Linked DNA regions of Elephas maximus indicus. The protein of the gene in region 4 interacts with the protein of the main gene of each other region in a biochemical or structural test. Links are inferred from orthologs where the notes say so. Each region holds a gene or a part of one and is shown on either strand. Other genes may lie near its edges. The genes, in order: USF1, HDAC3, BTK and general transcription factor II-I.

Region 1 (6,884 bases), on a different chromosome or scaffold from region 4:
GAGCCATTCCTCCTCCTTTCCCTTACAGAAGTTTCAGCATAGCCCCTGGCCCACATTAATTTCTACTCTAAACCTCTCCATCCCCCAAACAGTCCACATCTTCACCTCATTCTCCAAGCCAAGTCTCCCAAGACATGTTCAATTACCTCCCTCAATCCCAACCCCAGGTCACACCTGCAGCAACCTGGCCCCCTCCCTTACCTGGCCCCCATTCTCAGTTCGGAAGACGTACTTGACGTTGGGGTCAGGGAAGGTGGCAGCTGACTGGATGCTGGCAATAGCCACGCTGGTTGGGTCCTCCCCAGTTGCCACTGCACCTGAATTAAAAAAGCAAAGGAAGGGCCTGTGAGCTGCTGCCTTTCTCCCTCTGTTCCACTGGTACGTCATTCATAGGAGGAGGGTGCACAGGAGATAGGCCGTCGGAGAGACCAGGAAGGGCTCTTGGTTCTATTTCTGTCACTCACCTTCCTGAATCTGCACTGTCCCCTCTTCCGTTTCAGCTGTCTTCTGCTGCCTATTTGTGAGGAAGGGACAAAAGGAAGAATAAGGAAAGAAATGAATGAGAAGCTCACTGACCCAGTAACATATGGCTCCCGAACTCAGTGGCATTCGCACCAGATGCGAGATTAGACTGGAATAACAACAGCTAATATTGACTGAGTGTTTACTATGGGCACAGGCACTGAGCTAGGCACTGAACATGGACTATCTTATCTAATACTAAGAACAGCCCTATAAGTATCACCACTTCCATTTTACAGATGGAGAAACCAAGTCACACAGCTAATAAGCGATGGCACTGGGACTTGAATCCAGATCTGCCTGACTCCAGAGCCAGTGCTCTTATCCAGTCTGCCATTCTCCTAGGCCACCCATCTTCTGTCCCAGATCCTACCTCTTCTTCACTTACCCCTTCATCTCTCTGTGAGGGGGAACATCCGAGGAACTGGTCCTTCTCTGGAGGTCTTTGTATGTCTTGCCTCACAGCCCTGTGTGTTAAATCCTGGTAGAAATCAGGGAGTTTGCAGTGAGTCTAGGAAACTCAACAGCCTCCTGGTTCTAGAACTAGGCTCCATAAAGATACAGCCAGGAACATAACCCAATCGTCTGCAGGGGACAGTAAGCCTCCCCCATTCTTGATGCTGAGGACTGGGCTACAATGGTTGAAAAAGCCACCGTACAAATAGTGTTCCTCACCCCTCCACGACAACTCCAACTCCTGGTGGAGAGGGGATTACTGGACTGGAAGACTGAGAAACATCCTGTACCTGGATGGGTTATTACTAAAGCTATTATGACCTGCCATGACCGCAGCTTCATAGGGATTAGACCCTGTTAGACTATCACTATCAAAAAACACAGGGCTATGGACACTGATGCTTCTTTCAACTTCTTAGATGTATACTTTACACCAAGAGATCTCTATTCTCAACTCAATGGCATGAAGCCCATTGCCATTGGAAAACCATCCCTAACCACAAAGACCAGACTTGGCCCTTAAGGCCCATTCTATTGACAGAGCTCTTGTTCTGGGGTGTTCAGATACATGTCTTCTGTTAGAGACCCTAAAGCACAAATGCAGCATCTTCAAGACCTCTCTATTTTATTCTCCAAGGCTTCCTGTGAAACAACACATTTGCTAACATGTTGCCATGACAACTCCAAATTTCAACTGAGGCTCAGCAAGAAGGAAAAAAGCTGGAAGCTCAAGGTTCTGAAGGAGAAGAAACAATGGGGGAGGAATCCATTCATAAGGTGCCATCCTTAGGACCCTGACACCCAGACAGAGGGCAGGAAAAACAACGGGCTGAGCAGACCAATGCCTCCAGAAAAAAACAGCCGCACAGCGCAAGGCAAAAAGATAATCCGAACAGGAAACAAACAAGATTTTTGTAAACTCTCTACCTTTAAGGTTTCCCCAAATCTAAGGAAAATCTTCAGCGGTTACACTTTGGAAAGCCAGTGTCTAAGGAAAGTGTCAATAGGTCTTTGAAAAAAAGGAACTGAAAGTGAAAGCGACAGAGGAAGTAATACTGCAAGGAGATCCCAGTCCCTAAGTGGAAATAACACTAGTACCTAGGGACCACCTACCTCTGTCCTCAAACCTGAGGAGGAGGTGCCCCTCCCGAGGCTTGCTGCGCTGACTGCAGGAGGCGGCAATGAAAGAGAGGGCAGGGCACCAGGAAAGGAGGCAACTCTATCATCCACAGCTGTCAGCTAGGGGCAGCCTCTGAGGGCACCAGCAACGGGGTCAGGCTGCTGATTCAAATCTCAGTGGGACATCAGGAAGCATTTCCTGAGCACTAGGCATACGCGACGCGGCAAAGGAAAAGGATGTTGTGGCGTGCACGCTCAGACAAGGAGCGACCAGCAAGATCCCTCGCTAAGTCCGGACACAAAGGGAAAAAAGGCAAGTCGTCAAAGAAGTCAGGCGCAGAGACCTTGCCTGGGAATGCGGCATCTTCCCGGAGGCCCACCAGCCAGGAGGCGCTTTACAGAGCTGAGCGCACGACAAGCGCGAGCCCCGGGGCCCGTGCCGCCAGCCCGCGCCCCGGCTGCTCCGCAGAGGAGGCAGGGAAGGGCGCCAGGGGCTCGGCAGGCCCCGCGGTCCCCGCCCGGACTCGGCCGCTCGGCGCCCCCCGCTACGGCCCGCGGCCGCGCATCGCAGGACGGGGCGCGCGCCGTTCGGGGGCGGAGAGCGAGCTCGGCCCACAAAGGGGGGTAGGAGATAAAGAGCCAGGCGAGCCCCCTCCCCCAAAACAAAGGCTTCCTACCCAAGAGTTCCCTAACCCAGAAAACTAAAACCAAACCAGAGCTGCCCTGCCTTGCCCGTCCGCCCAGTGTCCCGACTTCTGTCTGGTCCTGCACTCACCGGGCAAGGCCGCCTCAGGCGCTGCTTTTCCCCGACAGTGTTTTCCCCCCTCCGGACCCGGGTATCTCCATGGGCAGCCGCTCATGCGCACTCCCAGCCTGCAGCCATGTTGATGAGGGGCGGAAGTGTCTCTCTCGACCCGCCCAGCCGACTCAGCCCCTTGATCCGCCCCACTTCCGTTCGTTCCCCCTGGGTGAGGGCTGAGGGATGCGGGGGTGTTTGGAGTGTCTCTGGACCGAGAAGGTGCCATTTCCTGGGATCTTGTCGGAATGACACTGAAGTCGTAACCGTTTTCAGCAAGAATGGGAGAAAGACGACTAATTTGTGCTACCATCTTTGTGCTGGGCGGTGCATTTTTTAGTCTCAGGAAAAGGTAGTGAGGGAGCCAATTTAGGTCAGAGAGGGAAGTCCGGCCGAGACGCCATCTTTAACAAGGCTCATTTGGGAGGCCATCTTGGATCAGGGCATCTGTTTGAAGTGTTTCTTAACGGGAAGATTAAGACAGCTAACTAGGCATACTTCTTTGTATTAGCGTCAGCCGTCCTTTACCTAAAGACCCAAGGCTTCAGTTTCTTTGAAAGGAATTTTTATTCCCATTCCAACTAGCCAGGACCTAACCCTTAATTGATTTGGGACCAGACAAACCCAGATCTCATACCCACTTTTGCCACTTCTTACCTCTGAGATCTTGGGCAACTTAATTAAGCTTTAGTTACCTCATCTGTAAAGAGTAGACACCAGTGTCAACCTTCTGAACTGTTATGTGGCTTAAATAAAGTCAAGGGCATAGATGCTATGCACGTAGAACACCTAGCTCAGTTACTGGCACAGAATGAGCATTATGTAAATATAATTTCTCTTCCCCTTTTCCTGACCACCGTGAACTCAGCTCTAGTTTCTAGCCACAGGTCTCCATGACAACATCTGAGGAAGAACAAACAGCAAAGAAAAAAAGACATTTGCCCAAACATGTGAAGAGATGATACCACTCACGGCTTTAGTAAGAATAATGAGACTTCACACTATTTACATGTAAAAATACAACTTTTATTCTGAGACAGCCCCCACTTACTAGAGTGGGATCTGTGGTTCAGCTGGTCTGGAAAAGCAGCCCCAGGACCTGAGTGGCCCCATTCCCCTTCCCTAAGGTAACAAAACCAAACCCACTGCCATCGAGTTAATTCCAATTCACAGTAACCCTAGACGACAGAGTAGAACTGCCCCATAGAGTTTCCAAGGCTGTAAATCTTAACCGAAGCAGAGGAAGTTATCCCAAAGGGAAAAGGAGAGGCCAGAGAGATCTATACAGGACCCCTTCTTCTTTAAGCTGACTGGAGACAGCAGGTGGGTGAGCTGGAAAGATGGTCAGTCCTCCCAACAAACACTGAAGCCTTCAAAGAGCTTCCTGAATAAGTTACTCCTAATCTGAAGCTCAGACAGGAAGTATTCAGGGGTCCAGGAACAAAACAGGGGTGGGCAACACAAAATGTTTGTGTGTGATAGGCTCTGACCTGGCCCTGTCCTCCCCACCTCACCTTAAGCTTTCATGAAGGTTCACAGCCTCAGAGGAGAGTAGGAACTTGGCTGGAATTCCCCCTCCATTCTTCACTTTGAAAAACCTCTAAGTTTTCTGCCCACATCTGTTCCTTTTGGCGCAGTGATTGAGCGTTCAGCTGCTAACCAAAAGGTTGGCAGTTCAAATCCACCAGCCACTCCTTGAAAACGCTATGGGGCAGTTCTACTCTGTCCTATAGGGTCGCTATGAGTCGGAATCGACTCAATGGCACCGGCTATGTTCCCTTTAGCCAATAACCCCACTCCCTAGGAACCAGATCTTGGTAACTTTCTTAGGAATCTCCTAAGGGATAAGTGCTTTCTGTCTTAGACAAGCTCAGGTAAACGAACTAACCTGTGGCCTCCCACAGTCAAAAAGAGAAGCAAGAGGCCAAAGCCTGTAGAGTTAGGCTCTACAGCTCGTCAGGGACCCTGGAGATTCAAGACAGCTTACTGGTCCCCTTTGCCCAGGTCCTAATCACAGTTCCTCACCTTTCCCAAGGTTACCCTGTGTTTCAAATGCGTACGATCGGCGCTGGGGGGGCTTAAGGGGGTCAGGGGGCTGGAGTTCTCTGGGGGGCAGACTAAGCCGACTCCGGGATTCAGATCCTTCTGTGCCTTCAGGTGGGTGCTCCAGGCAGCTAAGGGGCCGGTGAGAATAGGCAGGAAGCATGCTACCGTAGGTGGTTCTGGGGATGAGGCTGTAGTCCCCACCTCCAGTACAGGTCTGGGTCCGCCGAACTCCCTGAGCCTCAGTCCTCTGGCGGTCCCGGGCCAAAGCCACAGCAGCATCAAAGGAAAGACTGCCCCCATTCCTCCAGGAGGAGCGGGAGGCTCGGGACCCCCAAGCCCTTTCCCCAGGAGTCCCATCAAGCCGGCCAGGCCTCGGACATGGGTTTGCAGGTGCCACATGGATCTTGCCACACAGTGCACTGGGCATCTTGGCAAACTGTGGTTTGGGGGGCACCACAGGCACAGAGCGGACCTGTTGGACCTGAACCAGGGTGGAAGCCAGGCGCATGCCCACACCACCAGCTAAGCCAGGGGGACAGGGGCACAGATCACAGCCCTCTGGACTAAGCTGCCCCTCAGGCTCCATCTCCTCTGGCAGAGGTGGCTGTGGGGCTGCCTGTTCCTCCTCAAAGGACTGGGCATTGCCCCCTTTGGCACTATCAATGCTCAGGGACTCTCCACCTGACCCTTCAGGGAGAGAGCCTTCTTCAAAATGGTCACCTCCAGCCCTCTGGTCTCCCTCAGCCCCTCCATCCCCTCTCTCCCATTCCTTGCTGACCTCCGCTGTTCCTCCAGCTGCTGCTTCTAGGATTCTGATGTCTTCACCATCTCCTTGGTCTTCTCTTGCCTCTTGGCCCCCATCCCCACTCTGTCCTTTGATATCATCTTCCCTGCCTCCCTCAGCCTCTTGTTTATGTACAACTTCCCAGCTCTCCTCAGCAACTTGGTGTTCCTGGGCCCCATACTCTGGGTCTTTTCCAGGTTCTACCTGGGCCTTGTCTCCTCCTTCAGCCTCTTCTTCTCTCTCAGTCTCTCTTTCCTTCTCGTCTTTACTCTGCTCTTCTCCTGATTCGTCCACACCCTTAGCCTCCTCCATATTCTCAGCTTCATTCTGGCTTTTGGACTTGGTCTCTGTCTCTTCCCCACTCCCTTCTCTCAAACTAGCCATCATATCCTGGTCTCCCTCAGTCTCCACTCCTTCCTCACCTGACTCTCCAACCTCTACTTTGGTCTCTGGACTCCCCTCAGCCTCCCTCATGTCGCATCTATTTCCAGGCTCAGACTCCTTGTTCTCCCCAACTTCCAAGCATGCTTGCTCTCCTGAAGCCTGCCCTGAAGCCTGTCTTCTACACCCTGCTGCCTCTGCCTCCAGACTCCCTAGACCTTCCCAGGTCGGTGGTTTGGGCTCCAGAAGGGGACTTAGGTCGTCATAGGCACTCAGGAAGACTTCCTCCCCACTTTCCTCCTCTGCTTCAGGCCTGGGGCCAGCAAAGTCCAGGGAACAGCAGCTGGGAGCTAGGACAAACTGCGCCTCATCCAGAGAGAGGTCATCCAAGGGTGGCTCCACAGAGAACTCCTCCACCTGTAGGCATAGCATTGTGGCTCAGGACCAGGTGGCCCTGCTCACCCTGAGACCCCATACCACCCCCAAACCCAGCACAGCTCCTTCTTACCTGAGGCTCAACTCCCAGGAGCTCCTCTAGGTAGCCCATCCCAGGGTCGTCCTCCCCAGGGGAGAAAGCTGCTCCTGCTGCTCCTGCCTTGGCCACATCCCCATCCTCCACCCCCACCCACTCAGGCTCTGAGTCGCTTGAGTCCTCTAGGAAGGAGAAGGAATCTTGCACCTCCTGGGACAAGGAGTCCTCCAGAGCAGGGGCCGTGTCCACTGGGCCTGAGTCAGCCAAGGAATCAGGAGCTGCACTTGCCTCCAACTTCTTATCTGTTG
Region 2 (7,625 bases), on a different chromosome or scaffold from region 4:
TCTGACTCATAGTGACCCTATAGAATGGAATAGAACTGGCCCATTGGGTTCCCAAGGCTGTAATCTTTACAGAACCAGACTGCCACATCTTTCTCCCTCAGAACGGCTGGTGGGTTTGAACCACAGGCAGCCGAGTGCTTAACCACTGCACCACGAGGGCCCCTCTCTACTTAATCCAAAAAACCCGTTGCCGTCGAGTCGATTCCGACTCATAGCAACCCTATAAGACAGAGTAGAACTGCCCCATAGTGTTTTCAAGGAGCGCCTGGTGGATTCGAACCACTGACCTCTGGTTACAGCCACAGCTCTTAACCACTATGCCACCAGGGTTTGCATGATAGGGCTGCTTAAAAGGTCAGGCCACGCCTGTCTCTTTTAACCTCAATTCAGATCACTCTCCTCTTCATATTCAGCACTCGGCCTTTTTTCTGTCCCTCAAATGAGTCATACTCTATCCTACCAGAGACCATTAACACATATAGTCCCTGCTGCCCACCATATGCTCTCTCCCCCTCCAGCCACCCAACCCCCTTTCACCTAATCACTTCCTGCTCTTTCTGCAGATGTCAGTTCAATCCTCTCTTTACTCCCTCTAGGAAGTCTTCCCTGACCAGCCTCCTCCTAAACTAGATTATTCTCCCAACTATACGCTTTCACAGTCTGTCATGTACCCCTTCCTGCATAGGACTTGGCACAACCACAATATTAAATTTATGTATAGATTAGATGATTGCCTTCCCACTAGACTGCAAGCTCCACGATTGTTTATTCCCACCTCCTAGCTTTTTTCATTTTTGTTCATCATTGTATGCCCAGCACTTAGCACCAGATCTGGCCTATAGCAAATGATCAATAACTATTTGCTGAATAAACAAATGAGAAAGTGGTGATTCACTGATAAGTAAGCCCTCTTCTTAGCTTTCCAGTGCTGTTGCCACAAGATCTCGTGCAAGAATTCCCCCTTTTGAAGTGCCGAGCATCAAAATTCCCAGTCCTCTCCTCACCAGTCATCACCCACATTGAAGGCATTAAGGCTCTTGGTGAAGCCTTGCATATTGGTGGGGCTGACTCTCTGCAGGAAGTCGATGTAGTCCTCGGAGTGGAAGCGGCACATGTCGTGCTGGGAAGCCTGGTATGGCTTGAAAACCTCGGGATGGAGACACAAGATGAACCCAGGCAGGGTCATGCCCACTCACGGGGCTGAGACCACTCACACTGAACCCAACCCTGGCAATTGTTCAAGTCCGCACGCAGCAGTCACCACACCACACGCAACGGACATCACATCACAACACACCAATCCTTGTTATTCTGTGAGGCAAAGGTCACTCTGCGCCTGAAGAAAACAGGCTCTGATGAGCCAAGTGGGTTATTATGATCGAGCCCCCTGACCGGGCTTCCTGCCTCATTCCCACCTCCAGCCCAGGGCTGCTGGGCCCTCCCTCTAGAGCTCTAACATCTTCCAGGTAGAAAGAAGAGACGAGGAGAAGGGATGGGAAATGAGGGTAAACCCCACAGTCAGGTACAGTGGTCCAGCCCCTCCCCCACCTTTAAGGCCACAGCACTACCCACATACTAAGATGCTAGGGATGAAGACATCAGGTCTTCAAACCAGCCCCACCCCACCATACCCCTAAGCCAAGGGCCGGTCCACCTGAGGCCAAGGGGTGGCTGACCTGAAGTGAAAAAGTAACCCCCGTTAAGTCAGAGGACACCATCCTCTACACTCTGGAGAAGGAGGGAGGTTACTCCTGGTGTCTTCTATCCAGCTATCCCCTCCCTTCTCCCATTCTAGAGTCAAAGACCACCTTCTAATTAAAACCCAAAGGACTAAACCAGAGATTTAGTATCTTTTGGGTACCTCACATGCCCCTTTGGAAACTGGGCAAGAACAGTGCAGTTTTTCTCTCTCTAGAAAATGCACACAGGTATATATAGGCAAATGATTTCAGGGAATTCATTGACTCGTGCATTAACATCACTTCAGTCTTTTCTATGACCAATCCACTTGACTGTGCCTCAGCACAAGCAGCGGACACTCATTCATATTGTTGGCCAATTCCCCTCACAACGCATAAGGGTTAGGCCTGTTATACCGCCAAATCACAACTATAAATTACAAGCTGGGGGCAGCGTGTGTGATGTCTGGGAGATGAAGGTTTGAGTAGCAGCGTTCTAGGTTAGAAAGGAGATACCCAGGATGTCTCCTGTCTCCCTCCATACACGCATACACATTTACACCCAAGGCTGGTGGGCCCTCCCTCGAGAGCTCTAACATCTTCCAGAAAGAAACAGGACATGAGGAGAAAAGGTGGGAAATGAGGGTAAACCCCACAGTCAGGTACAGTGGTCCAGCCCCTCCCCCACCCTTAAGGCCACAGCACTACCCACACACTAAGACGCTAAGGATGAAAACATCAGGTCTTCAACCCAGCCCCACCCCACCATACCCCTAGGTCAAGGGCTGGTCCACTTGGGGCCAAAGGGTGGCTGACCTTAAGTGAAAAAAGTAACTCCCGTTAAGTCAGAGAACACCATCCTCAACACGTTGGAGGGAGGTTTCTCCTCGTGCCTTCTGTCCAGCTACACCGCCCCCCACCCCCCCGCTCCTGTTTTCGTATGCAGATCGCACCTGGTGCATTCAGTCCAGCCCACCTAGCCCTAAGACCACAGCTCGCCCCACCCCTAACACATGGCAGAGGCAGCGGGACTTACGATCATCTTCTTATAGAGACCGTAGTGCAGAACCAGACTATGGGTCAATGCCAGGCGATGAGGCTTCATAGGATGTCCAGCCCCTGGGCAATGGGGGTGGGGAGAAGAGAGTTCGTCAGTGTCCACCCCCGGAGTTGCAGCCCCTGCCTCGAAACCTCTGCGCCCTGAAACCCCTCGCACACAACCCTGATCCCTCACCATAATGGAAGTTGCCCACGTCCGGGTCGTAGAAATAGGCCACGGTCTTGGCCATGGCGACCGCGGGACCAGGCCCCGGCCTCCGCCGCCCGCCCGGCCGCCAGCCCCGCCCCCGGCCGTGCGTGCTGCGTATGTACGCAGCCCGCCTCTGCGGAACTGGGAGGCCTAGGCCCCGCCTCCGTGAGACCACGCCCAGGTCACACCCCCTGCAAGACTCCGCCCCTCCCCCGGCTGGCCAGGCCCCTGGGGGTTGGGTGTAAGCGTCCCGGCTCGAGTGCTGGACAAGTAACCTCGGTCTCAGCGTGGGAGGGTCATTTCCTTCCGGGCGGGGGCCAAATCTTCGTGAAGCCGAGCCATTAGTCCAGCCTTCTGCCCCAGAGGAGAGTGCGGCCGTGGTCTCCGCGCCCGCCCCGCTAGTACGCTCTGGAGAACCAGCCACGCCGCCGCGCTCGGGTGCAGAAAACCGGTTTCTGCCTGCCCGCTGGAGAGATCCCTGGCTATCCGCCCGGCTAGGGCATCTGCGGACAGGAGCCTCTCCAGGCGTGCGGGATAGACCAGAGGGGAGCACACCCGCCGGGCCGGGCCGCCTGTCCTGACCCGGACTCAGACGGCGCCGCGCTCCCCCCGGAGAGGTGCCAGCCAGTCACGCGCGCACCACACTTGCGCTCACACACGCGCGCACAGCTCAAGCTCTCCGCTCCGCACACCTGCGCTCCGCCCCCCGGTCCCGGGCCGGCGGCGGGCGAAGGCATTTGGAAACCCAGGGGTTGCTGCGGCGGCGCCTCCCACCCCCCTTCCTTCCCAGGGCCGGAGTTGTCTGAAGCCTGCTGCGGCTCCCAGCCAGCCCTCATCCCTCTCCATCCTTCCCTCCCCCCGCCTGCCGCTGCACCGGTAGCCGCAGCCGCAGCCCGGAGCCGGTGAGGCGGCGAAGGGGGAGGGGAAGGAAACAAGGGATGAGCGCCGGGAGGGCGTCGGGGGCCCCGAGCAGGACTAGGACGCCCCTGGAGCCGAAACCCGAGCCGAAGCCAGAACCGAACCACCGGTACTGGGTGGGCCAGGTGCTCAGGGTGGAAGGAATCGTAAAAGGGAGGGTGCGGGAAGGAAGGCAGGGGAGGGGGCTGCAGAGGCCGGGCCCAGGCCGGCGCGGAGCGGGTGCGAACGCTGACTCAGGCGCGACTCCTGCGCCCGCCGCCTGAGAATTCCGTCCCGTCTTGCGCTGCAGTGTCCTTGGGAGGGACGGAAGAGCAGGGACGAGCTGGAAAGGGGAAAGCTCCGGGCGTCGGGGAAGCGGGACCAGGGTCGTGGAAGAAGACTTGCGCAGCCGCTGTCTGGCCCCGCGTCCCGGCAGCTCTTGGCGCACCAGCACCCCTGGCCCGGACAGCTCCCTGGTTGGGTAGGGGGTGGGACCGGATCTCTGAGCCTTGCCAGTTTGGAATCTGAGGCATTCCTACCCCTCCCCAACATCCCCAGCTGCAGCCCCCTCCCCCCAGGAGGCGCCCTGGCCCGCGCTCGCCCCCCAGGGCCTCATGTCGGAACCACAGCCTGACCTGGAGCCTCCCCAGCATGAGCTGTACATGCTCTTCCTGCTTGTGCTGGTCTTCTTCCTCATGGGCCTCGTAGGCTTCATGATCTGCCACGTGCTCAAGAAGAAGGGCTACCGCTGCCGCACATCGAGGGGCTCGGAGCCTGACGACGCCCAGCTCCAGTCCCGTGAGTCAGGAGCCGGGAACCCTGGCTCAGCCATCTTTCTCTCTTAAACGCTTCTCCCCACATCTTTTTCCGCTTTCCCTGGCCAACAGACCTAGGTCCGATCCCAGTCAAGCCTGCAGGAGGCCTAGTGATGCTTCCTTGAGTCAGCAAGTGGGGTGAAACCACCCTAAAGGCAAGACTAGAGGAGGCAACATGGGGAGGAAGGTCTTTGGCTCCCATTGACCTCCCCATCTTCCCTGGCCTGGCTCCTGAAATGCTAAAGTCCAGCATGAGAGCAAATAGATTAAGGGATATGTTTTGAGGAGTAAGCCACAGGAACCACCAGGTAATGCCCCCCCCCCAAAGTGATTCTTTTCTCTCTTCCTTGCCAACCTCTTTCATCCTTCAGCTGAGGAGGATGACATGAATGAGGACACAGTAGAGAGGATTGTTCGATGCATCATCCAAAATGAAGGTAGGTGTAGGCTGACTCCTTCCCCACCCCCTTCTCTTGCCCTGACCTCCACTAACTCCATCTTTTCTTTCTCCCCTCAGCCAATGCTGAGGCCTTGAAGGAGATGCTGGGGGACAGTGAAGGAGAAGGGACAGTGCAGCTGTCCAGGTGAGTTGCCTGGAAATAAGGTCCAGCATGGCTTTGGTTGCCTTGGAAAGTACTCTCCTCCAGCACAATTCTTTCCCAGTCTCCTTGCATGTTTGTGGGGGCATGGAAGTAGATGGCAAGGTTGGCTCACCTATAGGTAAAAAGTTTTGTAGAAATCCAGGGTCCTTCAAACCATCTCTCCCACCTGAACATCGGCAAGCCTAACACTCACCCTTAATGCCACTCCTTTGGGTTAACCATTATTCTCTTTCTGGCAAACAGTCCCGAGAGGGAGAATGCATGGTCACTGACATCTTAATACTGAGTTTATTACACAAAGACAAGAAAAGAATGTTGGGGTCTTGGGGAAGTGGGATATCTGGGGGTTTAACGAGCATGCTGAAAGAACAGGAGGCAACAGAACAGGAAGGGAGATGGGAATGTCACCCCTGTTCTCCTCCTTCCTGTCCAGCGTGGATGCCACCTCCAGCCTGCAGGATGGAGCCCCCTCCCACCATCACACAGTGCATCTGGGCTCTGCAGCCCCTTGCATCCATTGCAGCCGCAGCAAGAGGCCCCCACTTGTCCGTCAGGGCCGCTCCAAGGAAGGAAAGAGCCGACCCCGGCCTGGAGAGACCACCGTGTTCTCTGTGGGCAGGTGGGGCCACAGTGTTCCAGGGAAAGGGAGGTAGAGGTGGGGGCCACAGTGATCAGGCATCTAACTCAAAAGGTGGGCCTGGTGGGACTCCATGCAGGATCTCCAAAGGGCCCTCCCTGGCTCTTTTCTCCTGGACTGGGCGCTGCAGCAGGGTCAGGCTGCACAATATACCCCAAAGTCTGAGAAGGCCTCCCCTGCCCAGGCCAGAGGGAAGTGGCCATCACACCCAGGATGTCCCTGATTGGAGAGGAGGGCAAGAAGCCTCTCAGTTGTGGTCCTAAGCTCCAGTGTTCCCTCCCCTCCCAGGTTTCGGGTGACACACATTGAGAAACGCCATGGGCTGCATGAGCATCGTGATGGCTCCCCAACAGACAGGAGCTGGGGCTCTAGTGGGGGACAGGACCCAGGGGGCAGTCAGGGATCTGGGGGAGGACAGCCCAGGGCAGGGATGCCTGCCATGGAGAGACTGCCCCCTAACAGGCCACAGTCCCCAGCCCTAGCCAGCCCCCCAGTGCAGAATGGAGGACTCAGGGACAGTAGCATAGTACCTTGTGCACTTGAGGGGAACCCTGGAGCCTCTGCAGAGCTGGTGCTGGGGGCCGGAGGCAGGGGCCCAAGTCCGGGGCTGCCCAGTCAAGAGGCAAAAGCAACCAAACTGGACATCTCAGATCACCAGGTATGAAGACATGGCCAGGGCTTCAGTGGGATGTGGCAGACTGAGCTTTTGTTGTCCCCTACTCTGGGGACTATTTTTCCACTGCTGACCCCTCCCTTTTCTCTCAGGTGTCCCCACCACGGGGAGCAGGGGGTATGTGAGGTGAGTCTGCCTGGGACCCAGGGCAGTGAATCTTATCCTCCTACCCCCCACTCAAGCCCGTCAGCTCCCTGAACCCCCAGGTGAACTGCAGGCTTTAGCCTTTGCTACAAATTTTTGGTTTGGTGGTGGGGAGTGGGCATGTGCTTCAGGGGGTAGATTCAGGAACCCGGAAGTGAAGGGGTCCTGTGTCACCAGGAAAAAACTGGGACAGACCTTAAATAGAAGGCAACATTGTTACCCTCCCTCTCTTCCAAGCCTCATTCTTCGCTGCTGCTGAATGGACTACCAGCTGGCAGAGTCCGGGGTGGGTGGACATGAAGCCCCTCCCCTCCACTGGACAGCACTGCCCCCAGCTGAGGGACCAGCCTTACTTCCACCTGGAGTTTCATGGTCTCAAGCTGGGGGACCTCAGAAGTAGCCCTCAATACACCCGTCAGTCTCTTCCCATTCCCTTGCCTGCCAACAGGCCACCTGACCTGCCTTCCTAACACCTCACTCCATATGCTAGAGCGTGGCAGCTGGGAGCAGGCCCCTGCCTTTGGTGGGCCCTTAAAGCAATAGCACCTTAGGCCCCCTGCCCTCTTGGCGCAAGAGGCCAAGGCTTGGCTTGGGCTTCCTGCCCTTTATTCACTGTCAATAAATCCGCTCAGACCATTACAGCTGCTTTTGCATACTGGCTCCAGCTCCTTCTGATTCGCAAGGCCTGACTCTGTCCCTGCCCCCAGCCCAAGTGGCCCTGGTACCCAGGATGGGGTGGGGCACAGACCCAGGGTGGAGACAAACATGGGCGGAGCCATTCAAGATTTGAGGAGGGTAGGTTCCAGCCCCAGAGATTTCAGGAGTGGGATAGAAGGGGTTCCAGCCTTGGAGATGGGGTGGTGGTGGAAAAGAAAGGGGTAGTTCCAATCCTAGAGATTGCAGGAGAGGAACGGAGGAAAAGGAGTGGG
Region 3 (7,331 bases), on a different chromosome or scaffold from region 4:
TTTCCCCATGTTATTGGGATTTCTCTATAAGCATCATTGAAGTGTCTGGATGGCACAAATGGTTTGCACTCAGCTACTAACTGAAAGGTTGACAGTTTGAACCCACCCAGAAGCACAGTAGAAGAAAGGCCTGGCAATCTGCTTCTGTAAAGATTACAGCCAAGAAAACCCTGCGGAGCTCAGTTCTACTCTGTAACACATGGCGTTGCCATGAGTCGATGGCAACGGGTTTGGTCGTATTTTATCCTTTTATAAGCATCATTTACTGAGTCAAAAAAGTACGTGTATTTTTTCATTTTGTTACATATTGTCAAAATGGTTTCCTGGAACATTGTACCAATTTCCACAACAAATAGCAGTTTTTGAGAGTCCCCTTACCCCTGCACTCTCAACTCCTTTATGCTCCATGTCTAACCAATTCATTTCCCTATTTTTGTTCACACTTCAGTGTTTTGCAGACTAATCTATTATTTCCATTGAGGCAGTGATCTTGGACTCCAGTACGTTCCAACCTCTAACTTGTCTCAAATTTACTTCTCTTGGCTCTCTAAAATTTTCTTCTGGGGTGAGCTAATAAAATGCAGTTTATTTTCATTTCAGGGAGGCAGGCCAGTAAGATGAGCTTCTCATTGAGGTTCAAATAACCAACAGTAGCCTAACAGCCATCTAGTGATGGCTTTCAGAGAGCCAGCCTAAACCCGGCATATTAAGGTTTCCAGCTTCCCAAAGCTCTCTGAACACACTCAGCCACTGCACTTAAATCTCCATAGAAACTGAAAGTCACATGTGGCCCAATTGTTTCAGGGTCCTCAGAGGAGTTCTCTTTCCCCCTCCCTTGGCTTCATTTGCATAACCAAGCAGCTTCAGGGGAAAATAGGTCAAGGTTTCTTCTGTAGCTTCTTGTTGAGCACTGACTCACTGAAAATTCTAGCTCACTCTTATTCCCAGGAGTTGCCAATCAGATCTGAGTATCATTGGGGAAAAGTGGCAGGTACCTGAGGACTTTTTGGAGAACATCCATACCTGGGTTTTCATAAGCCATATCTTCCCCTTATGAATCAACTCGACAGCTGCAGGTTTGGTTTTTGGATCTTACCCTTATACCTAAATCACTTCCTGGTATGGGTCTAGTCCACTGAAAGGAAACTCTTATAGGAAACTTGCCAGAATGGAAATAATAAATCATAGTGATGGTAATTTAAGATTGTCATCAATATCCTAGAAGTGGGTAGAAAGTTACACCAGTTCTCACCATGAAGAATTTACAAAGGATTCTAAACCAAAACATCAATAGCTATAAGCAACATGAGTTTGAACTTTAAAATAAGCAGCTAGTTTAGTGTGATGATAAAAGGGGTCAGAATAGAGCATATAGGGCTAGCCCTAAGGGGTGCCGTTTCTGGCGGCTTTAGGTTTCCATGAGCATTTGCATTTTGTGGCTTATTTGGAGGGTGACATTGTTTTATCAAATAACTGAAGCTTCGGAGAGGGCATAGCACCCTTGCTTCAGGGGCTTGGCATGCAAAATGAGTCAAGGAGCAGAACTAATACACAACTAAGAGCACAGAGGACAGCCTCTGAGCTGTGCAGACTCCCAACATCAGGATGTTGCTGCTGCCCTGCCTCTGGAAACGCACAGCACCGACTAGAGACTTCCAGCTTGGAGAATTGGTGGCTGAGAAATCGCACTGGGATTCCAGCTGGAGGTCCAGCAACTCATCCAAGAACGTTTTCAACAGGGTCAGCAATCTCTTATATTCTAAATGTCATTTCATTCGCTCTAAGCAGAGCCCTCTGAGGACACTGGCAGATCTCAGGTGGAATAAAAATAATAGCCAACACTGAGAGATAGCACTTGCTATGTACTAGGTCCTATTTTAACTGCTTTACATATATTAACACTTTGAATCCCCGCAACAACCCTATGAGGAAGGTACTAGGCAAATAGGGTAAAGGGAAAAGAGTAGGGGAAGGAAAGGGCAAGAAAAATCCAATGCATCATTTATTAAGTGCTGACTTTGTGCCAGGGGATATAGGAATGAACAAAATACAGGAGGGTATAAAAAAGAGGGGAGATAGGTAGAGAAAGGAGGAGGAAGAGAAGAAGGTGGAAGATGAGGAGGGAAATAATGAAGACCAGAGAAAAGAAGGCCATGCACATGGTAGGCAGTAGTAATAGGAGAAAGCTTCACCACGACCTCAGGGTTTGGCCACACAGTGTCTGGGCTGAGGCTAAGGCTGCCTTCTTCTGGCCAAGTCTCTTACCCCCTATTACCACGAGGTTGGCTCAGCCTCCACACAGTCCCTCCAACAAGCCAGCTCCGGTCCCAGGCCCCGGTTTGGCCTGATGCAGCTCTACGTAGTTAGCTTTTCCCCCGCTCACGAAGGTCAACTGCCTATTGTGGCATGTGAACTTTGACAGTTTTCTCAGAGAATCTGCCTCATAAAACTTCTTCTAAGGGCTTCGCTGACACAAATCTACATTTTGAGTCTTCAAGCACTATTTGACCAAAGGGCTTATTTTTATCCCACTGGCACCTGCGGTGTTATTTTTCCGCCAAGTTTTGCAGAGGCGCCCCTTTCCAACACTGGATACCTGTTCAGACGGTCATCTCTTGTTACCTTTTTCTCTTTGTGCCCCTCCCCACCATATCCCTCCTTAAAAAAGACCCCTAAAGCCCCTTCTGATCACCAGAAGGGACTGCCAAGACCTTGTGCTGAAGATACTACCCCCCAGCCCAGCAGCCTCCTCCGCCAGCCGACTCTATGGCACCAGCCCTGCTTTCTCTTTGGCCTTCAAGGGCCCCCAGAAAGGTACTTGCTACTGCTGCTGCTTCCCAGCCCCTGCCATGCCCCAGACCCACCTCAGTCCTGACTTAAAGCAGGTAGCTTCCCAGATGCATTGAGATGCCGGGACTTTGAAGGTGGGACTCGATCTCAGAAGACACTGGCCCTGGAGACATATTCTTACAGTCCAGAGAGGAAGGACAGTCTGAGCAAACCCCACCCTTTCACAGCCACTCAGTTCCCTTTTTTTGTTTCCTGACTTAAACCAATGTCTTTTTTTTCTTCTTAGCAGCATGGTATCTGGTTCCCTGCTGCTGTCCCTGTTCCACCCCCCCCCCCCCCCCGCAGCCGTCTCCGCCCTTCATTTGCTTGGAAACTCCAACGTGATTATCATGCTTCCTGCTCTGAAAGAACCCTCCTTAACATGACTGTGGCCATTGAGACTCTAGAAGGGGCTGGGTGGAGCAGATGGGTGGGCAGGCCGAGCTCCCCCAAGGTAAAGGGACGACATGCCGGAAGGACTGTGGGGATGGTTAGCACAGGGAGTGGAGACATATAGGAAAGAGGAGAACTGCACAGACTGGCTGAGACAGGAGGAAGGGAATGCCGAGGAAGAGTGTCTTTTGAGGCTCATGTCCTCTGAGGTGGAGGAGACTTGGGGCCACACAGGTAGAGTTGATGGTGAAGGATGGAGAGTGCTCACACAGGGACCCCAAAGTACAGAGCCTGACAGAGGTGGAGACAAGACTTCCCCCTGCTGAGTCATTTTCTAAGAAAGCATTTTTTTTCTATAGATAAAAGAGTCAGAATGTAAGCCCTAACAAGGGCTTGTGCCCTGTGCCCGTTCCCATTTCCTGTGAATGTTGATTTTCTCCATTTAAGATTTGGCCTCAGGAATTAACTCTTAATTTACACTTTGCCCTTTAATCCTATGAAGTGATAAACCAGACTGGGTGCACAACTTGAAGCCTAGATGTTTTCTAAACGGCCTCCTAGCCTGTTTCAACTGCAATAGTCTCCCCTAGGATTCTCCTTGGAAATACAGCCACTATTGGCTGCAGATAGTGATGGCAGCAGAGGCCCTGGTGACTGACCTGCTTTCCTACCTTGACACATCTGGTACTCTCATATCTACTTGTTCCTAAGCACTGTACACTAATGTAGAAATAGGAGTCCCTTGGGTGGCGCAAATGGTTAAGTGCTCAGCTACTAACCAAAGTCGGCAGTTCAAATCCACCCTGAGGTGCCTCAGAAGAAAGGGGCCTCGTGGCCTACTTCCAAAAAGTCACAGCCATTGAAAACCCTATGGAGCACAGTTCTACTCTGACATACATGGGGGTGCCATGAGTCAGAATTGACTTGACAGCAACTAGTTTACTGGTTAAGCACCTGTTATGGATTGACTTGTGTCCCCCAAAATATACGTATGTTATAAACTTTATGCTTATAATCCCATTTGGGAAATGAGTTTTCTTTGTTATGTTAATAAGGAAGTTTTAGTGTAGGGTGTGTCTTAAATCAATCTCTTTTGAGATATAAGAAGAGCAGATTAACCAAGGAAACAAGCAAGCACAGATGGGGGAAGATAGATGCCATGCCACATGAAAATCACCAAGGAGCCAAGGAACAGAAGCTGAAAAGAGATAAGGACCTTCCCCCAGGGCCCTAGAGCTAACACAGACAGAAAGCCTTTCCCTAGAGCCAGCGCCCTGAATTTGGACTTCTAGCCTACTAAACTGTGAGAAAATAAATTTCTGTTTGTTAAAGACACCCACTTGTGGTATTTCTGTTATAGCAGCACTAGATGACTAAGACAGCACCATACCCTAATGTAGAAACAGATCCCAGATCCCATTATAAGCCTGGCAGAATTTGTAAATCAATATTGTTGTTAGTTGCCATGGAGTTAGTCCCTGACACAATGAAGTGAAATGTTGCCTGGGCCCTCACCATCCACTTGCTACATTGCAGATCAGACCATTGTGATCCATAGGGTTTTCGTTGAATACACTTTGAAGTAGATCACCATGCCTTTCTTCCTAGTTCATCTTAGTCTGGAAACGCCATTGAAACCTTTTTTTTTAGCATCATACACTCAAGCCTCCAGAGACAGTCAGGTGGTGCCTGCACTTGAGGTGCATTGTCTGGGAATCGAACTGAGGTCTGAATAGAAAGTGAGAATTCTAGTACTACACCCTTTAAATCAATAGGGCTTTAAAAAATGGCATTTGTAGGATGTTAGAGTAGTTAATTCACACATCTGCACAAAGTAGATAAGAAACCCTGGTGGTGTAGTGGTTAAGCATTATGGCTGCTAACCTAGAGGTTGGCAGTTCAAAGCCGCCAGCTACTCCTTGGAAACTCTATGGGGCAGTTCTACTCTGTCCTGTAGGGTCGCTATGAATCAGAATCAACTTGACAGCAGTGGGGTTTTTTTTGGTTTTGGTACAAGTGTTGCATGATCTCCCTATTTTATTGATAACTTATATCCTTTCACTAGTCACCCCTGAACAGCTGCTCCAGTTGCCAGCCTGTGAACTGGCCAAAGAAATTCGTCCTCCTTCCCTCCCTTTTTCTTTAGTCAGATGCTGCTTACTGTCACATGCCCTGTCCCTTCTCAAGGTCCATTTTTGGGTGGGGACTGGGAGTTGATAGATATAAGATGGGAGATCTAGACAAGGGAGTGGAGGACAGGAGAAAGGGGAATGTAAATTTCAGGCTGTTCCTCGCCTTCTGCCCCACAGCTGCTCCCCTAACACACTTGTCTGTACTGACAGAACAACGACTGTACCCAAATAATGCAAATGAATGGCCTAGTGTCACCTCAAAAGATTCCCAATGTAATATAAGGTTCTATTCTTGGTGTTGCCCTGTTCAACATTTCTATTGATGACCTTTAGGAAGGTATAGAAGATACAGAAATGAAGATATAGAAAGTAGCCTAGCTAATTTGTCCATTGTGCAGAGCCGTGTGAGCTAGACTGGATGGTGGAATCAGAATAATTAGTTTTCAAAATGATCTTCATCACCTGTAGTGATAAGCCAAATCCAGTAAAATGTATCTTACCAGGGCTAAGGGTTATGTCCCATAATTGGGCCCAACATTAAACCTCAAAGATTCCAGGTGAAAGTGGGGTATCAGTAACACTTGTGAATATGGCTCAGGGGTTTTTGCTACTAGTAATCAAGTGAAATGTCAAGCCAGTGACGTGGCTGCCAGAAAGCCAAGGTGACAATAGGCTTCACTTGGAGACGTAAAATACGTACACAGAAAAGTCAATGTGCTACTTACTGCATGGTCAAGGCACATTTAGAATTATGTGTTCAGTTTTGAGAGCCTCATCTTGTTTTGGTTGTTAGGTGCCGTCTAGTCGGTTCCGACTCACAGCGACCCTATGTACAACAGAATGAAACACTGCCCAGTCCTGCGCCATCCTCACAATAGTTGCTATGTTTGAGCCTATTGATGCAGCCTCTGTGTCAATCCATCTCGTTGAGGGTCTTCCTCTTTTTCACTGACCCTCTACTTTACCAAGCATGATACCCTTCTCCAGGGACTGGGGTCTCCCGATAACATATTCAAAGTATGTGAGACGAAGTCTCGCCATCCTGGCTTCTAAGTAGCATTCTGGCTGTACTTCTTCCGAGACAGACTTGTTCTTTCTTCTGACAGTCTGTGGTATATTCAGTATTCTTCACCAACACCATAATTCAAAGGAATCAAGTCTTCTTCAGTCTTCCTTATTCATTATCAAGCTTTCCCATGCGTGTCAAACAGTTGAAAATGTCAGTAAACTATTAGCTGTTATAACTATTACTGTATAATGGTAAAGGGACCCATACTCTGAAGTCAGATTACCTGGGTTTGTATCCTGGATCCATTAAATACTGTCGACATTGGGCAAATTGTTGAACATCCTACAGCCTCAATTTCCATATGGGTAAATAATAATACCACCTACCTCCTAGAACTACTGTGAGAATTATATAATAATCCATTTTAAATGGTTAGTACCCGGCCTGGCATATACCAAAGAACAAAACAAAACAAAAAAACAACAACCCCATTGCCATGTAGTTGGTTTCGACTCATAGTGACCCTATTTGACAAAATAGAACTGCCCCATAGGTTTCCAAGGAGCAGCTGGTGGATTCGAACTGCCGACCTTTTGGTGAGCAGCTGTCTCTCTTAACCACTGCACCACCAGGGCTCCGCCTGGCTTACAGTAAGAACTTAATTCAAAATAACCCTGCTGTCTTTCTTTGTGGAGCCCTGGTGGGTAGTGGTTAAGAGTTCCGCTGCTAACTGAAAGGTCAGCAGTTGGAATTTACCAGCTGCTCCTTAGGGTCGCTATGAGTTGGAATCCACTGGAAGGCAATAGGTCTTTTTTTTTTTTTTTTTTTGTCTTTCGCTACTAGACTTTTGAAACCTAGTATATGTCTTCTGCCAGGTATTCAGGGAAAGGAAGAGCTGCTGGCTACTTTTCATCTCTTGGCCTCATTATTGCTGTTGCAGGAGCTGAACAATTTCATTGTCAGTTTTC
Region 4 (6,874 bases):
CATTTTTTCACCACATCAAAGATTCTGCTTCTAGGTATGGCTGGCATCTGTCTCTCTCAAGCCCACAGTACCTTCCTACAGAATCAAAGCCTCTTTTCAAATTTATAGTCCCTGACAGAGAGGGATTACCCAGTAAGCAAGGTAAACACGGGCTTACTTCTGCTTATTTACTAATCTGTAGTGACCGATTTCACATGGGTTTGTGAAATTGGTTACAGATTAGTGAGTAAGCACAAGTAAACTGTGTTTACCTTGCTTACTGGGTAATCTGTCCCTGGCTCGAGGCAAGAGTGGCGAGTCTGCTCTTCCTGAAGCCTCAGTTTGGTGTATCTTGGTACATGCACTTTATAGAGTGTGTTTCTAGTGTTTAAAGGTCAGATGGACAAAGTGGCTTCAAGAACGGGCTCAAGCATAACAAGGATTGTGAGGATGGCACAGGACTGGGCAATGTTTCGTTCTGTCGCTAGGAGTTAGGACTTACCGGGACCTAGAAACAAACAACAAATTTTCCGTACTACACCATTCCTAAATACAGATTAACAATTTATTTTCATCAGTTGCTCAACCCAAAAAATAGCAATTTATTCTAATGTTGGAAAAAACCTGGCTGTGCAGAGATGGCATCCAAAGTGCCTATGACGAGGGCCACAATTAACGTTAGCATCCTTGCTGCTGACGTGAGAAACTGGCCAAGGAATAGCAGCAACGAATATTCAATAACTGCCTGGTCATGTGCCAAGACTTTAGTAAAGCCTGGAAAAGCATGACATTTATGACTGGAAGACATGAATTTAAGGGTTACACCCATCAATGGCTGTAAGCTTAAGAGAAAAAGGCTCTACATGCTGTTCAAATCACACTGTTGACCATCCCAAAAGGGACAGCTTTCTGACTAGAGACAATTCGAATCCAGCCAAAGTTGAGTTTCAGGAACTGCTTCAACCTCAAAGAATGGTTCCACTCTGAACCATTAAACAAATTCATAGAAAAGAAAGGGAATCGCTCTCAGACACGTTTTTTTTTTTGTTTTTAATTGTGATAAATACATATGTAACAAAACATTTGCCATTTCAACCTTCTCCACGTTTACAATTCAGTGACATTGTTTATCATGTTGTTCAATTATCAACAGTCTTCTCCAGATTTTTCCATTTTTTTAACAGCAGCTCAGTGTCCCCTAGGCAATGAGTCCCCCTTTTCCACTCCCTGGTAATCATAAATGAATGTGCCTATTCTAGATAGTTCATGTAAGTGGAATCATACAGTATTTGTCCTTTTGTGACTGACTTATTTCATTCAGCATAATTCTGACAATTAAAAAAAATTTTTTTGGTGACAATATACACATCAAAATAATTTCTACATGTTTTTCAGTGATATTGGTTACGTTCTTCACGTTGTGTCTACATTCTCGTTATTTCTTCCCTAGTTGTTTCACTGTCCCCTAAACTTGTCATCTATGCTTCAGGGTTACTGACTACATAAATTTTTTTTTTTTTAAAGTTCAGTAGGTACTTAAGAATGACATTTTTTGAGCTAAACTTTTTCGTTGTTGTTTGCTCGTTTAAAAATGCCTTCAGGGGATAGTTTAGGGTCAAGGTTTGAAGAGTATCCCAGGGTAACAGTCTAGGGTGTTCCTCCAGCCTCCAGTAAGTCTTTCTTCTCCTGACAATACTTTTAAAATTGTGCTTTAAGTCAATTTACAAATCAAGTCAGTCTCTCATACAAAAACTTACATACACCTTGCTGTGTACTCCTAGTTCCTCTCCCCCTAATGAGACAGCACACTCCTCCTCTCCACCCTGTATTCCCTGTGTCCACTCAGCCAGCTCCTGTCCCCCCCGGCCTTCTCATTTCGCCTCCAGACAGGAGCTGCCCGCATAGTCTCATGTGTCTACTTGAGCTAATAAGCTCACTCCTCACCAGCATAATTTTCTCTTATAGTCCAGTCCGATCCCTGTCCAGACAAGTTTTTAATGATGACAAGAGTAATCCTCACTAAATGAACTCTTGCCTGACTAATTCACTTCCTAATACTCTCCCAAACGCTCCTCCATGGCTCCGAGACTCCAGTGTCCAGTGACTAGTCCTTTCACAGACCTCAATCTCACAGATTTCCAATAAAGCCATCCCTCTGTTTCCGGGTAAAACATACTGATGCCCACAGCAGCTGAATGTTGGGGCCAAGTAGGAGGTTGCTCTTACCAGCCGAGTCGTAGACTTCTCACGAGTTACGTTTGTTCCTAAGTACACGTCAACCGCACGTGGAATTAGGATTACGGAATTTAATATTCTAAAATGTCAATGAAATACAAGGGCAGAAGGAGTGCTGCTGTTCTCAGTAAGCCCAATGAACACTTTGGAGAGCCTAGGCCAAGGGGAGTCACAGTCCAATTAGTCGAGGACAAATGGCTGTTAACAGGCTGTGGGAGAAATCCTTAAACTCTAGAAGGCTTCCGTAATCTGATCGCCTCGCAGCGTTCTTTCAAATTTTCACCTACTTTTAAAGAAATCCAACAAGGGACCTGTAGATGGGGCTTCACGGGTGCGGTCTACACACGAAGCAGATGGGGAACTCCAGTCTCTGAACGCAAACTCAGGCAAAGGCCTCCGGGTCACCTGAAAGGGCTGGCTGCTCGGCAAGTTCCCTCGCGAGCGACAAAGGCCGGGGCCAGCCTGGTGGTCGCTAGCCGGGGGCGGGGAGGGGGTCACACAGCCACTGGGTTTTCTGCCGGAAACACCTAAACCCGCCGGACTATGGCGTTTTAAGTGTAACTTCGGTGAACAGTCGCGTCTCCCCCTTTACCAAATTCAAGGACCTAACGAAACGCCGAGACGCAAAATACAACTTGGGGGGAGGGCTTTGCGTTCAATTGCTGAGCGGCTGACCCAAGCCCAACGGGAACTCGGTTTTCTGTCCCCACTCCACGGCTTTTACCTCTCGACCTTCCTTCTAAATGGTGCGCGAGGGACCGAGCAGGGCAAGCCGCGGCGGGGGTGAAGAACACAGGTCTCCTCCCCTCGCCGCTCCCAAGCCGCGGCCACAGTCGCTCTGGGTGGCTTTTGAAACAAGCTTGGGGAACGCTAACACGAGTCCTTTGTGTCCCGGAGGGTGGTGCAGGGCGGAGGAGCTCCCTTGGCCGAACTCGGAGGGCCGCAGGCCAGCCTGGAGCGCCCAGCCAGGGCCGGTTCCGGCCCCTCGGCCTGCAGGGCGCCAGGAGTAGGTCGGAGACGCGCGGCGGCCCGGCTGGAGCGCGGCGACGAGGAGGCGGGAGCCGCCCGGGGCCCCGACGTTCGCTCCCTCACCCCGCTCCCCTCCCCCACCCGTGCGGCCAGGCAGGCCCCAGGTGCAGCCATCTTCGGCTCCCACCACCCGCGCCTCCATTGGCAGTCCTTGCGGGAGAGGGCCGGGCGCTGCGTTCGCCTGCTCCTCGGGCTTGCCGGCGCGCGGCTTTCTGGGAGTTGTAGTCCGCCGCACCCACCGCCGCACGACTAGGGGCGAAGAAGAAACTACAACTCCCGCTGCGCAGCGCTGCCGGTGCGCACGCGCAGCGCGCCTTCGAGGAACAAAAAAAAAGGAAAAAAAAAAAGGAGGAGGAGGAGGGTGAGTGAAGCTCAGAGAGCAGAGAAAAGGGGCCACCGATCGCCCCCCCGTTTCCCCGCACGCGCTCTCTGGCCGTGATCGCCTGCCTGCCGCGGTCCCCCCGGCCGCTCCCTCTGTCCCCCGTGAGCGGATCAAGGCGCTGAGCGAGGCCCTGCCCGGGCGGCCATGCGGCGGTGACAGGAGCTCGGCCGAGACGCAAGGGCCCCTCGCCCTCTCAGCAGCTCGCCTCCGCCCAAGGCTGCTCTGCGGCGGCCGCAGTTCGCGCGCGGCCCACACCCGCTTCCCTTCGGCATTCCCGGCCCCGGCGCTGCCTGGAGGCGGCTGCACTCGGGTGAGTCCCTCTGGGCTGATCTCCGTCCCCCGCCCCCGTCCCGGGCGCCATTACGAGCAGGGCCTTTATTGGGTGCCTCCCTCGGGCTCTGCACGGGCGGCGGGCTGCGAACAGCGGTCGCCCGCCGGCGGACAGCCTGCGGGCCCGGCCCTGCCCCCTCCGGAGCGGGCGGCCGGCGGGACGGGGCGTGGGGGTGGGGAGCGGCCGCGGTCGCGGGGGACGACGGTTGCACGCGCGGGGGAGGGGCGCGCGGGGGCGGGGGCCGCACGCGTGAGCGAGGTCCGCGCGCGAGGGAGCGAGCGAGCGGGCGAGCCTGAGGGCTGCGCACGCCCCGCCGCGGTGATTGGCCGGCCGGGCGCTGGGGGCGCGCGCTCGGTGCCAGGCCCGAGCCGGTGGGGTCGCGCTCGGCGTGGTATCTGGGGCTCCTGCGCCGCGGCAGCGGACGCGCCCGATTGGCCGGCCGGCCGCTGGGGGCGGAGCCGCGCGCTGCCTGGTAACGGCGGCCGGCGGGCTGGCGTCGCCGCCCTGCTCGCGCCCAGGTGGGGCGGCCGGGGTGCCGCTGAGGGAAGTAAACACAATGGCCGGAAGGAAGACGCGGCCTCGGGGCCGGGGGCAGACCCGGTCCGGCGCGCAGACGGGCAGCGGGAGGAGCAGAGAAAAGGCGCCGGGTTTGTGTTTGAACCCCCTGCGTGCTCTTCGCCCGCTGCCCGCTTCTAACCGCGTTTCCTCCTGACGAGGCGGGCATCTCCGTCACGGGCCTGCCGGACACTTGGCGGCCGGGCGCCGAGGCGTCGGGTCCTCAGTCCCCTTCTCCTGGCCGCCCGTAGGCACCGGGCTGCGGACCACGGCGTCCTCGGCCCGCTGGGCCCCGGTGCCGGGCGCTGGGGACACACAGGGGACGACGTCGCCGAGGAGGCTTGTCCGCGGCCGCGACCAGCGGTTGGGGATGACCGCCCTTGTCTCATGCGGAGCAGGTTTGCTTCTGGTCCGCGCCTCCGCTTGGCCTCTGCCCGCCTGACTGGGATCTGGGCGCCCCGGGCCACGGACATGTCTCCTGGCGTGCAGTCGCCTCTTCACAGCCTTCTCTCGTCCGGTCTGGTCGGGCTTCTTTCTGCTTAACGTCCCGGTCAGCTGCGTTGTGCCTCCTCGGCGGCCGTGTCGCCCGCCTCCGCAGCGGCCGTGTCGCCCGTCGGGTTCCCTGTCAGTGTTGGCCTCCTGGAGGGGCCGTCTGGGTCCTTCTCCGGTTCCCGGCCTCCCTCCGCGCCCCTTCCAGCCTGCAGCCGCCAGCGGGCGTCGCGGGTAACAGTAACCATGGCTGACGTTGGGGTGTTCCTTATGTCACAGGCGTGGGCCTTAAAGCACCTCAAAGGTATTGCTCTTAGTTTTTATAACCCGTAATTCCCATTTTATAGAGGACAAATAAGCCTCGAGAAGTTGGCGGAATTTACCCTCCTTTACGCAGCCAGTAAAACTTCACGCCAGGATTTGCACACGGGCAGAGGTTTCAGCTCCCATAAACCTTCCCTGGGGGGCTTGGTGAGCACCCGTTGCGGGAGAGATCCCATTCGGTAGGTCTGGGGTGGGCCCAAGAGGATTTGCATTTTTATCGAGTCCCCAGGTGGTGTGGATCCAGCTAACCTAAGCAGGATTTCCAACTGTGATTTCTTCCATTTGAGTTCCATTCTGGTTCACCACAATTTAAAAAATTCTGTTCAGGTTTCACTTCTTCCATCGATTCGAACCGGTTCAAACCTGTTTCTTTTACTCTCCGATCTCCAATTTATGTTCTGCAGATGGCTAACCTGGAGCAGTTTCATCTGAAGACATATGGTTACCAAATTCATTCTTTAACATTGCAAATAATATTGTATTTTTATATTAACCTGAATTTCGTTCATCGCAAGACTTCGTAATTAGTTTTGAAAATTATTGTTGGTAGGTGCCATCGAATGACTTTCAACTATAGCAACGCTGTGTACAACAGAAAGAAAGAGTGTCGGGTCCTGTGCCATCCTCACAATCCTTGCTGTGTTTGAGCCCATTGTTGCAGTCATTCTGTCAGTTCATCTCCTTGAGGGTCTTCCTCTTTTTCATATTTTACCAAATATGAAAGTAGCAATGTTAAACTGTTTCTGTACATTCATTAATAATTTAAAGTGACAGTGACGTTCAGTCTTAATCACTGTCAAAATTGTTCAGTACAGAGAAAAAGTACGATGTAAAATATTTTTAATTCTAATTTTTAAAATACCCTAAAAGTCACTCTAGCAGTCACTTTAAAAATAGTTATGTGATAGAAACACTCCTAATGTACTGTAAAAATATTAAATTGAAGATTCAAAATACTGTTTTAGTAGGAAATTCTCAACTTGATATTATATAATACAATGAAAATACACCTAGTTTTGATATAGGCAACATTCCATTACTAACACTTTTAATAGTCATCTAAAATTGGTTAAGAATTTACTCACAAAATACTAGAAATACAAAGGGTGTTATTGTACCTAATACGTCAGTACATAAAGGCCAACCGCAATAAAACATTTAATATTTTAATATTCACCTTAGTTCTAAGCTGAAGAATTGTCGTATTACATAAAATAACATTTTATTACAAATATAGTTTTAATTTATAAAGTTTATGTAGAAAACATCATTGCCAGAAACCATAATTACACCTAATTAAAAGACTGTCCTTTAATATTGTTTCATTTAACCTATCCCTGTTGTCTCACAAGATGTATTTCACACCTGAGAAAGCTCTCTCAGCACTGACCAAAGTAGCTTGTGCACCCAAAACTACCATAGCGATTTCACAGAGCTGGGGATTTTTGGGTTTGGGGGGATATTGTGAACGGTTTTTTCCCCCAAATTCAAGAATATTTTTTTTTCCTATCAACTCTGCACACCATCAAAGCTTGTTAACATAGCGTCAA

Evidence for each region.
Region 1: the proteins of general transcription factor II-I (region 4) and USF1 form a complex in vitro, tested with the Homo sapiens proteins (2 studies listed by BioGRID). The link is inferred for Elephas maximus indicus from reciprocal best matches to the Homo sapiens genes GTF2I and USF1.
Region 2: the proteins of general transcription factor II-I (region 4) and HDAC3 form a complex in vitro, tested with the Homo sapiens proteins (2 studies listed by BioGRID). The link is inferred for Elephas maximus indicus from reciprocal best matches to the Homo sapiens genes GTF2I and HDAC3.
Region 3: the proteins of general transcription factor II-I (region 4) and BTK form a complex in vitro, tested with the Homo sapiens proteins (4 studies listed by BioGRID and IntAct, with this or other methods). The link is inferred for Elephas maximus indicus from reciprocal best matches to the Homo sapiens genes GTF2I and BTK.

The regions. Positions count from the first base shown.
Region 1 is NC_064821.1:199,856,455-199,863,338, forward strand, and holds the start of USF1 (upstream stimulatory factor 1), read right to left. Parts: upstream 3,001-6,884; 5' UTR 2,873-3,000; intron 1,004-2,872; 5' UTR 919-1,003; coding exon 911-918; intron 515-910; coding exon 465-514; intron 320-464; exon of another isoform or gene 318-319; coding exon 202-317; intron 1-201. Other genes in the region: ARHGAP30 (rho GTPase-activating protein 30), read right to left, coding at 4,905-6,521, 6,613-6,878.
Region 2 is NC_064820.1:154,963,389-154,971,013, forward strand, and holds the start of HDAC3 (histone deacetylase 3), read right to left. Parts: upstream 3,020-7,625; 5' UTR 2,969-3,019; coding exon 2,914-2,968; intron 2,799-2,913; coding exon 2,716-2,798; intron 1,148-2,715; coding exon 1,005-1,147; intron 1-1,004. Other genes in the region: RELL2 (RELT-like protein 2), read left to right, coding at 4,440-4,623, 5,012-5,077, 5,158-5,224, 5,676-5,861, 6,168-6,537, 6,645-6,677. UniProt on the Homo sapiens protein: Histone deacetylase that catalyzes the deacetylation of lysine residues on the N-terminal part of the core histones (H2A, H2B, H3 and H4), and some other non-histone substrates.
Region 3 is NC_064846.1:56,724,218-56,731,548, reverse strand, and holds the start of BTK (tyrosine-protein kinase BTK), read right to left. Parts: upstream 3,009-7,331; 5' UTR 2,865-3,008; intron 1-2,864. UniProt on the Homo sapiens protein: Non-receptor tyrosine kinase indispensable for B lymphocyte development, differentiation and signaling. Binding of antigen to the B-cell antigen receptor (BCR) triggers signaling that ultimately leads to B-cell activation.
Region 4 is NC_064830.1:109,094,115-109,100,988, reverse strand, and holds the start of general transcription factor II-I, read left to right. Parts: upstream 1-3,855; 5' UTR 3,856-3,935; intron 3,936-6,874. UniProt on the Homo sapiens protein: Interacts with the basal transcription machinery by coordinating the formation of a multiprotein complex at the C-FOS promoter, and linking specific signal responsive activator complexes.